2 linked regions of the Stegostoma tigrinum genome follow. Each later gene encodes a partner of the first gene's protein in a complex. Links are inferred from orthologs where the notes say so. Each region holds a gene or a part of one and is shown in the gene's direction. Other genes may lie near its edges.

Evidence for each region.
Region 2: the proteins of hcn2b (region 1) and pex5la are in contact, whole or in part, in a crystal structure (PDB 4EQF), measured with the Mus musculus proteins. The link is inferred for Stegostoma tigrinum from reciprocal best matches to the Homo sapiens genes HCN2 and PEX5L. Residues at the interface, in NP_032252.1 of Mus musculus: Leu859, Ser860, Ser861, Asn862, Leu863; in NP_001156988.1 of Mus musculus: Glu315, Glu317, Val343, Asn347, His426, Asn453, Arg454, Ala457, Thr458, Ala460, Asn461, Tyr472, Arg484, Tyr487, Asn488, Ile491, Ile494, Ile537.

The regions. Positions count from the first base shown.
Region 1 is NC_081383.1:14,353,183-14,361,407, forward strand, and holds the start of hcn2b (potassium/sodium hyperpolarization-activated cyclic nucleotide-gated channel 2), read left to right. Parts: upstream 1-5,005; 5' UTR 5,006-5,574; coding exon 5,575-6,164; intron 6,165-8,225. UniProt on the Homo sapiens protein: Hyperpolarization-activated ion channel that is permeable to sodium and potassium ions. Displays lower selectivity for K(+) over Na(+) ions. Contributes to the native pacemaker currents in heart (If) and in neurons (Ih).
Region 2 is NC_081367.1:37,291,721-37,299,347, reverse strand, and holds the start of pex5la (PEX5-related protein), read left to right. Parts: upstream 1-4,567; 5' UTR 4,568-4,749; coding exon 4,750-4,770; intron 4,771-7,627. UniProt on the Homo sapiens protein: Accessory subunit of hyperpolarization-activated cyclic nucleotide-gated (HCN) channels, regulating their cell-surface expression and cyclic nucleotide dependence.

The DNA.
Region 1 (8,225 bases):
CACTCCTGACTTCTGTCTTTTAGGTGACTGATAGGCTTTGGGGAGTCAGGAGGTGAGTTACTCACCACAGTACGCCTAGTCTCCGACCTGACTTTGTAGCGACTGTGCTTATGTGGTGACTCCAGTTAGGTTTTTGGTCAATGGCAAGCCCCCGGGATGTTGACAATGAGGGATTCAGTGATAGTAACATCATTAGACTGTTTCCTGCAGCAGTTCAACAAGGCAGGTCATTACCACCTTCTCAAGGCCAACTAGCGACCGACAATATATCCTGGTCAGCCAGTGATGCCCAGGTCCCACAATTGAAGAAAATAAATGTCAAGGGGGGTGGTTGGATTGTTTCTGATTGGAGTTAGTGAATTTGTGTGGTGTAAATGTTACTTGCTATTTCTCAAACAAAGCCTGAATATTGTCCAGAGCTTGTTGCATTTGAACATGGAATGATTCAGGATCTGAGAAGTCACAAATGATGCTGAGCATTGTGCAAGCATCAGTGAACATCCCCACTTCTGGCCTTATGAGGGAGTGAAGGTGATTGATGTAGCAGCTGAAGGTGCTTGGACCTAGGACACTACCCTGAGGAACTCCTGCAGAAATGTCCTGGAGCTGAGATGACTAACATCCAACAATCATGATTATCTCTCTACATTGCCAGGTATGACTCCAACCAGCTGAGGATTTGCCCCCAATACCTTTTTTTTTCAATTTTGCTAGTGATCCTTGATGCCACACTCAGTTAAATGCAGCCTGGATGTCAAGGGTTGTCACTTTCATACCTCATATTACCCCTGGAATATGACTGGGTGTGACTAAGCAGGTAATTGCTGAGCAGGTGCTGCTTCATAACATGGTTGATGACATCCATTAGTATTGGCCGTTGAAGAGCTGTATAGTGCTGCTTTACTTCCTATGTCAGTCAGCCTCACTGAATTAGACATAGGGCATAAATAATCAAATTAATTTACTCTGAATTAGGAAATTAGCATTTTCAGTCGCAAAGAAGAACTGCAAATATTTTGTTATCTCTATCTTTATCTACGTTAAGGAAACTATTGAGATTAACTACCATTTTATGAAGAACTCAGCTTTTCACATGTAGATCAATATGTTGTTTTTAATCTATCTCATTTACAACTGAAAAATTCTAAAATCTAGCTTTACTTAAGGCATTGGAGGAGCAATTGTCGTCATGACAAAAATGCTTGGCAATTTTTTTTTGCAATTGGACTTAACATCCATGAGAATTTTTTAAATCAAATATATAAGGAAACAAAAATTGCCCCCTTTCATTGTAAGCTAATATTTCCTTTTAATAAAAAATGATCATTACATAAATTGGTCCAATCTAAATATTGACAAGATTCAATGGAAAAACTTGAATATAAAGTTTCATAATTTGGTGAGTGGGTAGAGGGTGAGTGATAATTCTAAAGGCAATTCCTAGGGGTTTTGTGGCTAAGCTTGTAGCTGAGCTCAGCAAAGTACAGGTCTTCAAAGTTGCTTGCATAAAGCTCAGCCTAAATCCGCTGAGATCTTGAATTTTTGATGGGAGCTGAATAGGATGGTAGTAGGACATTGTTACTCATCCAGAAGTTGAAGTTAGTTAAGCAAGAGATAGGATGCAAATGATTGAAGTGTCAAGGGTGTTGACATAAGACTCGATCTAAGTGTTCACAGCATATATTGACCAAATGAACACAAATGATGTCATCCAAGGACAGCTTCTAAATAATTCCTAGTCTGAGATGAGTTACTAATCTTGGCCTGTAGCGAGGTGGAGGCAATTTTTCTCAATGTTCAAGTTACAACGAACAATGAGTGAAAGTCAGACACTGCGAGCCTGAACAGTGTAGGAAATTTAGGTAGACTTTGTCTTTGTTTGAATCCTAATTGGTCTTGATGAATGTAAAAACTCAAAACAATATACTGCTAAGAAATAATCATTAATTTGACTTTCTTCTATAATTATTAAGCATATTATCTGAATCCACAAAATATAATTTGTTCTACATTAGCATATAACAAAAGGATTCTTTAAAAACATCTTTTAAATGAATTCAGAGATAGTAAGAACTGCAGATGCTGGAGTCAAAGATAACACAATTTGGAACAATGGAGCATCACAGGAGCAGGAATGTCGACGTTTCGTGTCCCGTCCTGAAATGCCAACATTCCTGCTCCTCTGATGCTACTCAGCCTGCTGTGTTCCTCCAGTTCCACACTATATTATCTTTTTAAGTAAACTTAGATTCTTAGATTAGCGAGTTTTGAGAAGATTTGTAGCTCAGGTTGAGTTTCTGGATGTGAGTTTGCTCGCTGAGCTGGAAGGTTAGTTTTCAGACGTTTCGTCACCATTCTAGGTAACATCATCAGTGAGCCTCCGACGAAGTGCTGGTGTTATGTCCCACTTTCTATTTATCTGGTTAGGTTTCCTTGGGTTGGTGATGTCATTTCCTGTTCTTTTTATCAAGGGATGGTAGATTGGCTCCAAATCAATGTGTTTGTTGATGGAGTTCCGGTTGGAATGCCATGCTTCTAGGAATTCTCGTGCGTGTCTCTGTTTGGCTTGTCCTAGGATGCATGTGTTGTCCCAATCAAAGTGGTGTCCTTCCTCATCTTGCAAGAGCTGTGACAAACACAACATTGGACAAACAGGCAGAAAGCTAGCCACCAGGATACATGGACATCAACTAGCCACAAAACAACATGACCCACTATCACTAGTATCCTTACATACAGATGAGGAAGGACACCACTTTGATTGGGACAACACATCCATCCTAGGACAAGCCAAACAGAGACACGCACGAGAATTCCTAGAAGCATGGCATTCCAACCGGAACTCCATCAACAAACACATTGATTTGGAGCCAATCTACCATCCCCTGAGAAAAAGAACAGGAAATGACATCACCAATGCAGGAAATGACATCACCAACCCAAGGAAATCTAACCAGATAAATAGAAAGCGGGACATAACACCAGCGCTTTGTCGGAGGCTCACTGATGATGTTACTTAGAATGGTGATGAAACGTCTGAAAACTAACCTTCCAGCTCAGCGAGCCAACTCACATTCTTAGATTCTCAATTTGTGCAGTTAAAGTAAGGATAAAATTTCTATTTTAGTGACAGATGTATTAGATAACGTGACAAGCATAACATTTCCTGGTCTAATGCAAACTGATAAAATATTGCATAATTTACATAATTACAGGGAAATTTTCAAGTATGTTTGATTTAGTCATTATTGGAATATAGATAGACTAAAACTAATTGCCTGGAGAAGTAGGTAATGCGCTACAATCTTGAACTGCTGCAGTCCTTGGGGTGTAGAGGTACTCAGTGTTGTTAGCAAGTTCCAGGACTTTAACCTAGCAACAGTGAAGGAGCAATGATATATTTCCAAGTTAAGATGGTGTATAGCTTGAAGGGGAATTTGAAGGTGGCAGCATGTCCATGCCTTTGCTCCCCTTGGTTTTCTAGGTGCTATGAGTTTTGGATTTGGAAGCTTCATAAATATAATCTTTATTTTGATTTGACTTCTTTTGAAAAAAAGGATTATTCTCCAAAATCAAATCTTTTATACATAGTGAATTGAACTCCTTGGTTATGAGGATTGATTCTATTCCTCATATTTCAAGCAGAACATTGACACCGTAGATTTGCCTGAGTCAATATGGAAATGTAAAATGCATTCTGTTAATCCAATATGAATTGCAGGTAGGATTTGAGCATAATGAAATGAAAAATAAGAATGCATCAATAATGAACAAAGACAAGACAATAGATACTGTATTTAGGATTTATTTTAGCATTCCAAGGCCAGGGCTGTAACCTGCTGCAATAATAATAAATAAAAACTGAAAGAACAATGGATGCTGTAAACGAGGAACAAAAACAGAAGTTGCTGGAAAAGTTCAGCAGGTCTGGCAGCATCTGTGGAGAGAAATCAGAGTTCACATTTTGGGTTGAGTCATTCAACAGACCTGCTGAGCTTTTCCAGGATTTTTTTTGTTTTTAGAGCAATAATAAGACCTCGTTTATGAGGAGCAGCGATGTAGTAGTCATGTTAATGGACCAATAATCCGGAACTGCAGTTATTGCTTTGGTGATGTGGGTTTGAATCCTACCAATGACACTTGGTGACATTTGAATTCAAAATAAAAACCTGGAATTAAAAATATAATTTAATGGTGACCGTGTACCCACTATCAATAAAACATCCCTGTTTCATCAATATCCTGTAGAGAAGCAAATGTGCCATCCTTATCAGGTCTGGCAAACATGTGATCCCAGACCCACAGCAATGTGGTTGGCATTTAACAGACCTCTGTGTAACAAGGATGGCAATAAAGGTGGGGTGATGCCCGTGTTCAATGAATAATAATAAAAAAACTTGATACAGTAACGTATAAGGTGTAGAATTCTTAAAGTAATAAGTAACATATTGGCCTCCCTCCGTGCAAAGCCAGTGCTCCTGTCACCTTAAGCTGTTGGACTTTTGCTGCAGGGTACATCAGCCAAGGCACAATCTCCACCTGTAAAAGGGAGCTAAGACGTGTGTGGAAGGGACTGCAACAGCTTATATAGTGTCAACATAAGTATAACATTATATAAACTTCTAAAGCACAATGTTGGACTATTTCAGAAATGAGTTTACTTTTTCAGGTGGGCACAGAAGGATCTCTATTCACCCAGCAGTGTTCTACTTGTTGCGCAGAGGCCATTCTGTGTCTTTGCAGGGTATGATCTGGACGTTCAGTTTCCCCCAATTAATCCTTCACTTGTCGATACAATCACAGCATTTCTGGGTTTTTTTTTAAACCAAAGAAACTCTGCTTTCCAATTGAAATATTTTCTCCTTTGTGCATGCATGCGCGCGCGCGCGCGCGTGTGTGTGTGTGTGTGTGCGCGCTTAAAAACTGCAGTAATCCTAACATACCATGAGGGTGCACCGTTTTGACAGTCTGTAGCAGTAGTTGGGTGCCGACTGGTCATGTTTATTTTTGTGAAGTGTTCGTTTCTCCTACCCAAATGAGGAACTGGGTTTGGGGGTCTAATCGCATACATCTACAGGAAATATCCAAGTTTTACTTGTCATTTCCTTTGTCCTCTAAATGATTTTTCCTAAAAAGAAAAATGTCAAACAGACACACGAGGGCGCCAGAAATATATAATTTTTGGTTTAAATTCTTCCCTCCACCCCAGGGCAAATTTAAATACTCCCTGGTAAAAGTACTCTAGGGGGTTCAATCTAATTGGGCATCATTTACAAGGAGATCGCTGCCTGAAAGAATGAGTTGCACCTCTTCCTTATAAGAGGTTTAAACGAACATCTTCAGGTGGGGATAAAAGGGTTGGATTCTCCCTCTTCAAATGCAGCTTTGCGGCTCGGTTAACCTCCTGAAAAAAGGACTAGGACATCTCTCTGGCTGCCTGCGCCGTTTCAGTAAAAATGTCACGTAGGCGAAGCTCAGGCCACGTCAAAGCATACCTCTCACAGCATCTGAGCAAAACTGCGTCCTAGTGAGCGGAGAAGGTGGTGCAGCCTGCCCCATTAGACAGGTCCCATCATGGACGAAGACGACGAGAACGAGGAGGATACGCGCAGCAAAAGCATCAGAATGAAAGCGATCCCGTCTCCCCCAGGAGGGGGAGCCGGCCGAGGCTACCACAACACAGACAAGCAGCCGGGGGAATCGAACCAGGGCGAGGTAGAGACAGCGGTGGGCATGAAGTGCAACACGAACGGGGATTGCAGGGTGACCCAGGGAAGCCAATCGTCCATCAACCGGACGGATGAGAGTGAGGAGAAGAAAGCCGCGATGGAGGGAGGGGGCGCCTCCCGCAGCGAGGACAAGAGGGAGAGCAAAGTGGCTTTCTCGGCGGAGCCGCCCAGCCGAACATGCTCGCAGTTCCAGCAGCGCGGCAGGAACTCCGTGAGCCTGCACAAGTCCGAAGGGGCCGAGCAGATCTTCCCCGAGGATGCCGAGCAGAACGGCAGTCAGGCCAGCTTCATGCAGCGCCAGTTCGGGGCTATGCTGCAGCCGGGAGTTAACAAGTTTTCCCTGCGGATGTTCGGCAGCCAAAAGGCTGTGGAGAGGGAGCAGGAGAGAGTCAAATCGGCCGGAGCCTGGATTATCCACCCTTACAGTGACTTTCGGTGAGTGTTGCACGAACCCTCCTGTAATAAACACGATAGAGAGAGACACACACACATCTGTGACTGTAGCTCTTAAAGTGGGCTCCACTTGAGTCAGCTGCAACTTGTAATACTGAAGCAACTCGCTGCGGCTGCTTTTCCCCAATGCGGAAATTCAAGTGGTTATTTAGTAAGCAATCTCTAAGAAAAACATAGCAGCCAAACATCTGGACAGACTCATTGATGTAGACAACTGAAGCCTGTCCCTCGATTTGGAGGTGGTGTGTGTGTAAGTATGAATGTGGCTATGGTCTCTGAGAGACGCCGCAGAGATGCAGTGAAGGGGATTTGTCCTCTATTTCAAAGTACAGTGCTCACGTTTGTACGGAGTTAGCAGATCGTGCAGGTGGTCCCAGGAACATGTACCATTACTGACAGAACTTCTTCTTGGGCAGCACATAATTGGTGCCATAAACCACACGTACAAACAACGGTGCAGGCAGCGTATTCCTTTTGAAGAGTATACATATTAGTGGGTCTGTTTCGTGTGTGTGTGTGTGTGTTTGGTTGGGGGTGGGGTGCGAATTAACCTGCTGGGATAGGTGACACTTAAACCCACACCTTCAGGTTGAACATTTAAAATCGTGCTTAACCAACACAGTGTTACTCACGAAACGTTTGGAGAAAGGGTGTTTACCTTTATTGCTTTGATGTTAAGCGGTGCTGGGTACATTGGGTCACCGCTACAGATTTATCATGGGTGTGGGTCTGAGCGTCGATTCTGTCTCATGTCCTTGGGAGGCATTGGGCTCTTGAGGTTGACTTCCCGGTTGTCTCATCTTCCAAAGAACGGAGACGTTTTTAATTGCCACAGTTTGGGGATTAGGAATGGACAAGGCGTGTGTTTGTCTCTTGTTCTGGTGCTTTCTGTCAGCACCGTGATAGACTTAGTTCAGGAAAATTGCGGGTTCCAGCCCAACGGGGACAAGAGACTCTCATCTGTTCCTGCATTAACGTTACTCCGCACCTCAAACTGGTGTGAGGTGACCTCCTGGAAGATTCTATATCACGTTTCAGCGCTTTCCCAAATTCACATCATCGCATCAAACCAAACTAAAACCAGCCAAGCCTCAGTAATTCTGGTTGAAATGTAACAGATTTTTTAAAAATAGAGCTCTCTCGAAAGATAAACACATCTCCACAAGTATAAAGAGCTCTGCACCTGTTCTTTGCCTGTAATCTTTACACTTGGGATGTAACATAAGACCTACACCTTCAGATTCATCTGAATAAACATTTTTGTTCACGTTGCTGCAATTCTTTGTAGTTTCATATCCACTGATATGCACATTTATTTGCCTAAGATTTTGTAACTGGGAAACATTGAATTGTTTATGGGTAGTTTGACAATTACTCATTTCAAGCCATGTAACATTATCAGCTCCCTGTAATATTTGAATTGCAATCATTTTGATGGTTTACTCTCCAAACGCCAAAGTTTTGTAAAAGCTAAACCATTGATTCATTGGTGATACTCACAAGTGAATTGAAAATTTGTACAGCCTGAGCCATTCATCTCAGATTTTATGTTCTCAGCAGAGAGGAAAGAATAAGCTTCAGATATTTTCTGTGAACTATCTGTGACCTTTGCTTTCTTTGGGTCCAGTAATACATATTAGATCATCCTCCTTGCAGTGCTTGTTTCCAGCTGTGGGCATTATTAAAACAGTTCACACACCTGGCAACTAACACAATGCCTTGCAGACTGTCTTTGCACTGAAGTAGGAATTTATTGGGCACATGCTTTCTCCCCTTTAACTCATGATACTTTCTATTAATAAATCATAACTCCTCCAATTTAGAACAAATTGTTCTTCAGGCTGCCATCCATCTTCCTTCTTTCATTCAGAGAGCTCCCCTAGAGGAGATCATGTGTGAATTATGCTAATAACAAATATTGTACTCAGCCACATACAGGCTCCAAACTGGTTATTGATTTTGCTTTCATTAATTCACAAATTTTATTTTCAACCATACTTTTATACACTATTTGTGTATATTTCGGTTGATCATCATTTTAAA
Region 2 (7,627 bases), on another chromosome or scaffold:
AGAATCTAATTCTGCTTTACAAATATTCAAAAACTCTGCTTTCACAGCCTTTTGAAGGAGAAAGTTCCAAATGCTTATAACACTCAATAAGAAAAATTATTGCTTCATTCCTGTCTCAACTGTCCTCACATTTAAGATGATAACTCCTCATTCCAGATTCTCTCAAACAAAAACATCTTCTCCGTATCCAGCAGTGGTCTTTTTTTTTTGGAGCAGCACTCATCCAGGCAAGTGGGGAAAATTCCATCACACTCCTGTTTGGTGCCTTATAGATGGTGGGCAGGCTTTGGGGAGTCAGGATGTGAATTACTTGCTGCAGGATTCCTAGCTCTGATCTGCTCTTGTAGCCACTGTGTTTAAGTGATGAGTCCAGTTGAGCTTCTGGTCAATGATAGGACCCCAGGATGTTGAAAGTGGGACATTCAGTGATGACAAAACCACTGAATGTCAAAGAGCAGTGGTTAGATTTGTCCCTTTATTGGAGATGGTCATTGCCTGGCATTTGTGTGGTGTGAACATTCCTTGCCACTTGACAGCGCTAGCCTGGATACTTTCCAGATCTTGTTGCATTTGAACATGGACGACTTCAGTATCTGAGGAGTCATGAATTGTGCTGAACGTTGTGCAAACATTCCTGCTTCTGACATTATGATGAAGGGAAGGTCACTGATGAGGCAGCTGAAGAATGATTAGGCTTCACACCCCACCCTAAAGAACTCCTATAGAGACATCCTACAAGTGGGTTGATTGTTCTCCAACAATTACAGCCATCTTCTTATGAATCCAAACAGCAGAGAGTTTGCCTCCTGATTCCCATTGATTCCAACGCATCAAACCTCGTACTAGCTGCTCTTTTAGGAACCTTGAATGAATTCCATCAAAGCATGCAACCTGTCAGGCTGCAGCTCCAAGAAATTACTCAGTATCTTTTCTCTGGTTATTGCAATTTCCCCAAGTTCTGTCTTTCTTTCCATTTTTTAAACTTACAGCATGTTGCTATTGTCATCTAAAGTGAAGACCACTGCAAAATACTTGATCAATTCATTTGGCATCTCCTTTCCTTTTAATTTTCCATTATTAATTTGTTTTAAAAATTATTTTCTTAACTTTAGAACAAGTCTTGCCGTACATATATTTGCAGCTATATTCCTTGCACACTAAATTTTTCTCCTCATTAATCTTTTAGTCATTCTTGGATTTTAAAAAACTGTCCAATTTTATATGCCAACCAACATTACACAAACACATGCTTTTCTTCAAATTTAGTACAACCTTTAACATTTTTCAGTTAGCCACAAAAGCTGGATTCTACTACTAGAATTTCCATTCTCACTGGTTTGTGTATTCTGAAATATCCCCTTTAAATGTTTGCCACTGTATGCCTATGGACATGTCACAACATAGTTTGTCATTTTCACTTTAGCTCTACTTTCATACCTTCATAATTTGTTTCATTTATGTTTAAAATACAAGTCATTGACCCACTCTTATTTTCCTCAAACTGAATATAAAATTCAACATCGTCCTCAATGCTACTTGGGGACATCTTCGCTGTGGGGTCACTAAAAATCCTATTTGTTGCAGAATACATGATCTAGTATTGCTTGCTCACTGGTTAACCTCAAAACGAGCTATTCTGAGAAACAATCCCAAAGACAGGGAAGTAAAATCTGGAATTAAAAGTTTAATGAGGACCATGAATCCATTGTTGACTGGAAAAACCCATCTGTTTCACTGATGTCTTTTAGGGAAGCAAACTGCCATCCTTAGCTGGTCTGGCCTAAATGTGATTCCAGACCACAGCAATGTGGTTGATTCTTAACTACTCGCTGGGCAATTAGGGACGGGCAATAAATACAACCTAGCCAGTGATGCCCTCATCCCACGAATAATATTTTTTAAAAATGTCTTATTTCAATTTACGTATCACTCAGGTAATTACCTATCTCTTGAGGTTCTGCTTCCTAATTTGGTGCCCAACTCTTCATACCAATTATACAGGCCCTTTCTCCTTGACCTGCCTATATTAGTGGTGCCTACATGGTGGCTGGATCCTCCTTCTCCCAATATAAGTTACTCTCTAATCTTAAGCAAACCATGGCACCAGGCAAGAAGCATAGCCTTCTGAAAGGTCACTCTCTGCTGCAACGTCAATCTGTTTTTCTCCCCCCAACTTGAATGGCTTCTGTACATGATGTCGTTGTCTCCCTCCAGCCCTCACTGTCATTCAAGCAAGCCAAAACAACCTCAAACCTATCGGACAATTGCAAAGCTTCTTGGTCTCCAGGTTTCGTTGCCTACCTCAGCTACAGATAGGCTCTCCTGTTCCTGATCACTGATCAAATCAAATCAGGATCCCATTCTAAGGTACATTTAATCTAGCTGAAGTGTCATAATGTCTGCAGCTCAACCTCCAGCTCAATGTTTTTGTGCTGGAGCTCAAAGAGCTTCAAACATATTGCTGGATATGTTTGTCCTGGATCTCACTGGCATCCAGGGTTTCCTATCTGCTGCAACATTCACACATTTTCCCCCTTTATTCATTAATAGGATGAGGGCATTGCTGCCTAGCCAGCATTTATTGCCCATCCCAGAATCAACCACATTGCTGTGGATTTGGACTCACATATAGGCCAGACCAGGTAAGGATGGTAGTTTCCTTCCCATAAGACATCAATGAACCAGATGGGGGTTTTCCCAACATTTGGCAATGGATTCATGGTTATTGACAGTTTATACATCCCTCCATAAACCTGGATTAAATATAGAATTTAACTGGCAAACTGCACATCACTGTGAAATACAAATACGTTAGAAAGAGATCAAGATTTCCTTTACTCACCCATCTCTCAGCTCTCTGCTTGAAGTCACGTTTTCCTCCTCCTGATAAGCATAATTACTAGGACTAATTAGTTAATGTATCTATTGATATCATTCAATGAACTGTATGTTGCTGTTTAAACAAATGCCTCTTTTTGTTAATACATACTTGTCATTCATTCTCAACAACTGTTAGCTGAACAGGTCCTTACTGGCAGCAGGAAGAGGGATAGGTGGTAGCACTCTACCCAATTACAGGCTACCAGTAGTTGGTCCTGCGAACATACAACAATAAAGTTTTCACATTGAAGGCAAACCATGTTAAACACGAGAATACTTTTCACTATTGAATTGTGCACGGATGACAATTTGGATAAGCTAGCTGTGTGGTACTAACTTATTGTCATTTTGAGAGAAAACATTGCCTGTCTCATGGTGCTAATCTCACAGTAGTGTGGCTGTATCCCAGCACTCCCACTGTTCTGTGTGAGAACAGAATATTGCAATGATAAGATGTTATGTAGAATGTAGAACAATACAGCACAGTACAGGCCCTTCAGCCCACAATGTTGTGCTGATTTATTATCTAGCTAAGATCAATCTACCCTGCATGTTGTACATTTACTAACATCCATGTGCTTATCCAAGAGTCATTTAAATGTCCGTAACGTATCTGACTCTACCACCACCACTGGCAGCAGCACATTCCACTCACCCACCACTCCACCTTTTGTAAAGAACCTATCTGTGACATCTCCTCCATTCCTTCCTCCAGTCACCTTAAAATTATGCCCCATCATGATAACCATTTCTGTTCTGGGAAAAAGCCTCTGGCTATCCACTGTCTCTATGCCTCTCATCATTTTGTACACCATCCTTGCCTTTATGCTTTAAAAGTTGTTGCAGATGCTGAAAGCCAGTCAAAATGAAAGGAGTCCGTTTCAATTAAACTCAGTTAACATTAGAATTTCCATTGCCAACTGGTGCTCTCTGACTGACAGCTTTATTTCGAGTCCATTCAGATGGGCATAAGACTCCTCTATGCCCTCTCCATTTATGCAAATTTCCAATGCTCTGTTGTACTCAGGCTTTACAGTGCACTGAGGTGGTTGTACCTGAGATGGTTGGGACCTTGAAGTCATCACCTGTTTCTTGGACATTAGTCTGTGGGCTCACTCTCCGCAAAGTTGATGTTTGATTTACTTCAGCTTGCTGCTATGCACGTGTGCTGGGTGAATCTCCCAGTGCAGGTTCCTCGAGCTGATTCTTTACATTATCTTCAGCTGGCGTGTTCAAGAAGTTTCATTTTCAATGGGAAGAGGGTCTTTAGCCAAGATGCTCTTTAGATGTATGAATTCCACCGTCACCGGAACCGATAATGCCTTTAACTTGCCCAGTCTGGCAACAACGTCCTTTTTTTGTACCAGTGCACCTTGTAAAGAATGAAAATGTGTTTGACTTGTTTTTCATTGTGATGCAACTCACAACTTTAGAGCTTGCTGTACAAAGGATGCAATCTGTCCGAGTCAGCAGTGGGTAGGTACAAGGTGAAAACTCGCTGTACGGTTAAATCGTTGGAAGCGGACAGATCCCACAGACCTCCCCTCTGTGTGCACCCCTCTCCGGGTACAGTTACGGGGTCGACCTGCTGACCTCCAGGCTGATAGGAACTTGCCTGTGACATTGTGACGGAACACGCACAGCTCCCGAACCCGGCACGTGAGGAGGAGACTGACAGAGAGAGAGAGAGAGAGGGGCGGGTTCAATCCCAGCGCCGGCCCCAGCAGTACGGACATACAGCTCCAGTCACTTTCCCAGTCACCTTTGAAGAGAGAGCCTGTGAAAAAGCTCGAAACTGCACATCAGCCCCGACTGCTTCCAGACAGACCGCAAGTGTGCAGCTCGTCTGCAGTAAATAACCCATTCAGGATGTACCAGGGGCACATGCAGGTCAGTCAGAACGTAGCCAAATACGTATTTGTGTAATTTTGTGTTTTTAAAAAAAATTTAAATATGAGGTAACCTCAGCATGAACGTTGGCTTTCAATGGTCAAATGCAATTCAGAGCGAAACGAGAAAATGGCATGCAAAATGAAAAGGAAAATGATTGTCAAGGTGATCTGGCTGTGTTAGTTACAGAATGATGCACAATAAAACACAAGTTTTCAGTTGTGCATTCAGGATGCAGCGGCAGGCATATATCATCGCTGGTTAAATTTATACGCGTGTATGCTATCAATGACAGCAGCTTACCTTGGCATAATGTGGAATTACGATCCAGTTTATGGAGAAGGTTAACATGAACTGCGGTGTAGCTTTACATCTAGTACATGTTTTAATACATTTAAGTATTACGCAGAAATATGATGCCTGACACTCGTCGATTCAAGGGCGACGGATGATGGAAGGCGGAAAAGAATCTGCTACGTTTTGCACATTTTAATGCAAATGCTCAGTTGCTGAAGAAAGGCAGAAATTTACAATTTGTGTCTTGCAGATACAGTAGTGTGCCGCCGTGTGTATAACATGGACGCATTGCATGTTTGAGACAATAAATAACTATTACAGGCGTCACAAATTAAACATGCAGGAGTTTTGAACGGGTGTTGTGTATAAACTAATCTACTGATCAGTGCTGGGATTGGAAATCTTGGTGTGAATGATTGTCGGCATTTGGCTTTGTTGAATCCGCAAATTTGTTTCTTTATATAACCATTGTCATCACTGGGAATCCAACTCACTTCGAGTCTTCACATTTTTATTCTTGCTCGCATATCAGTATTTCGTCACGACATTCTTAATTTCTTTCTAAAGATTTCGTACATAATAAAGCAGTTTTCTTATTTATTGCGTGTATTGATCTTCTAATTTATCCATGTTCTGCACGAGTCGCGACATCGGAATGGGTCACGGAACCCTGTCAATAGTGACTGTGAGTGACAGCAACAGGCTTGTAGACTTCAACACTGCCCTTGCATCTCCCTCTTTGACTATCCGAAAACTTCTGTACGGGCATGTTTTAGCAACACAAAAAAGTGACGTTACTAAGGCACAGTGCAGTTTCGTTGTGAAAATAATATAAATCCGCAATACGACTCTTTTTAAATTGCTGGGCTGTCAGAATTTGAATGTCCCAGAATTTTGCTGATCATTCCACCGGAAAATCACAAAGATATATAGGATCAGATATGCTATTGAAAGTAGGCATAACGATCATTTTTTCTAACGTTTAATGGAAATATTATTAGGCATGTTTTTGATGTTGCTTTTCTTTCCCAAGTGTATACCTCTGCATATTTAGTTAAGGGCCTACCGGGATCAGGTGTGAGCAATATTCATTTTTAGTACTGGTTAGTCTCAAATCAGACACAACGTAGAGATCCCTCAGATCAATACGTGGACAACAGATCAATACCAATTCATGCAAAAACAGGCAGTTTTGCCAGTGCATTTTTACACAGTCCTGTGCTCGTAAATTTGTAATTGAAATAATTATTAAATCTTAAGTTTCCACCTTGATAGCTCACTTCTCAAATCTTAGCTATACGTTGACCCCAATAATTATAGATGATAGCAACATACAGTGTTTATATTGATAATTTATGTAGCAAATTAATGGCAATTTGAAAACTCTACAGTATCGTTTATTTGGTAGTTACACTTGAGATAGTTCTTCTGTACAAATTTTAGTCCAACTTGACTTTCTTTCTGTAAAATATTTAAATTCAGTGGAGAAATTGCTCATATAGGGCAAAGGTGTAAAAAGTGATGTTGGACCAATGTCACATTCTGCGTCTTTAATTTTCATTTTAATGATCTAGTGTTTCCTGTTTAACACTGTTGGCTAAAGTCAAAGTACTTCACTACACTCATATCATACAAACTAAATTGCTTTTCTCCTTGTCTCAAATCCAGCTGTATTAGGAGCATGAGGGTTTAAAAGCACTTGATTTGTTTTAGTGCAATTTTATTTGTGAGAATAATGTCCAGAGAGAACTTAGGTATCATGCAAAATTATAGTTTTAAGGGACCAGTTGTGAGATCTGTTTGGATTAGTAATCTGGAGCCCCAGACTAATGTTCTGGGGACAGTGGTTCAGATCTCACTGTGATGGATAATAGAATTTGAATTTAATGAAAAGAATGTAATTAATAAACTGGTATATTGTCAATTGTTTTACGACCCCCGAATTGACTTGATTCACTGTCCCTTATGGGATGAGTCCAGCCACCAAGAAACTCCAGACCCACTGCTATGGTCACAGTTGAATTTGAACTGGCCGAGTAAACCCCACAGTTCAAAGGCAGATCGGGGTGGCCAATAAATGCTGACCCAGCCAGTGTTATTCATATCCCATGAATAAATTTTAAAAAGAGAGATGTGTCATCAACTTCGGAAATAACAAAAATATTCTTACAATCACATTTTTCCACGAAGCACATAGGTAGAATAAATCTGTCGCTGGAATATAATCAAACATTTCAGGCAACGTTTATATGTGAAAATGAAAAGCTCACAACTACTATGTGTTCACCTATGTGTCATGGTTAAAACTTTTTATTTCTACTTAATACTATTGTCTAAATATTTGGCTGATTTTTACCTTTTTGATTTAATAAATTTTAAAATAGCATTTCATCTCAATCCTGCAACATTCCCTTGGCAAGCGTTTGGGTTCCAAATCATTCTATACAGAATAGATCATAGAATCCCTGCAGTGTGGAAACAGGCCCTTCAGCCCAACAAGTCCACACCGAACCTCAGAGCATCCCACCTAATCTACACATCCCTGAGCACTACGGGCAAT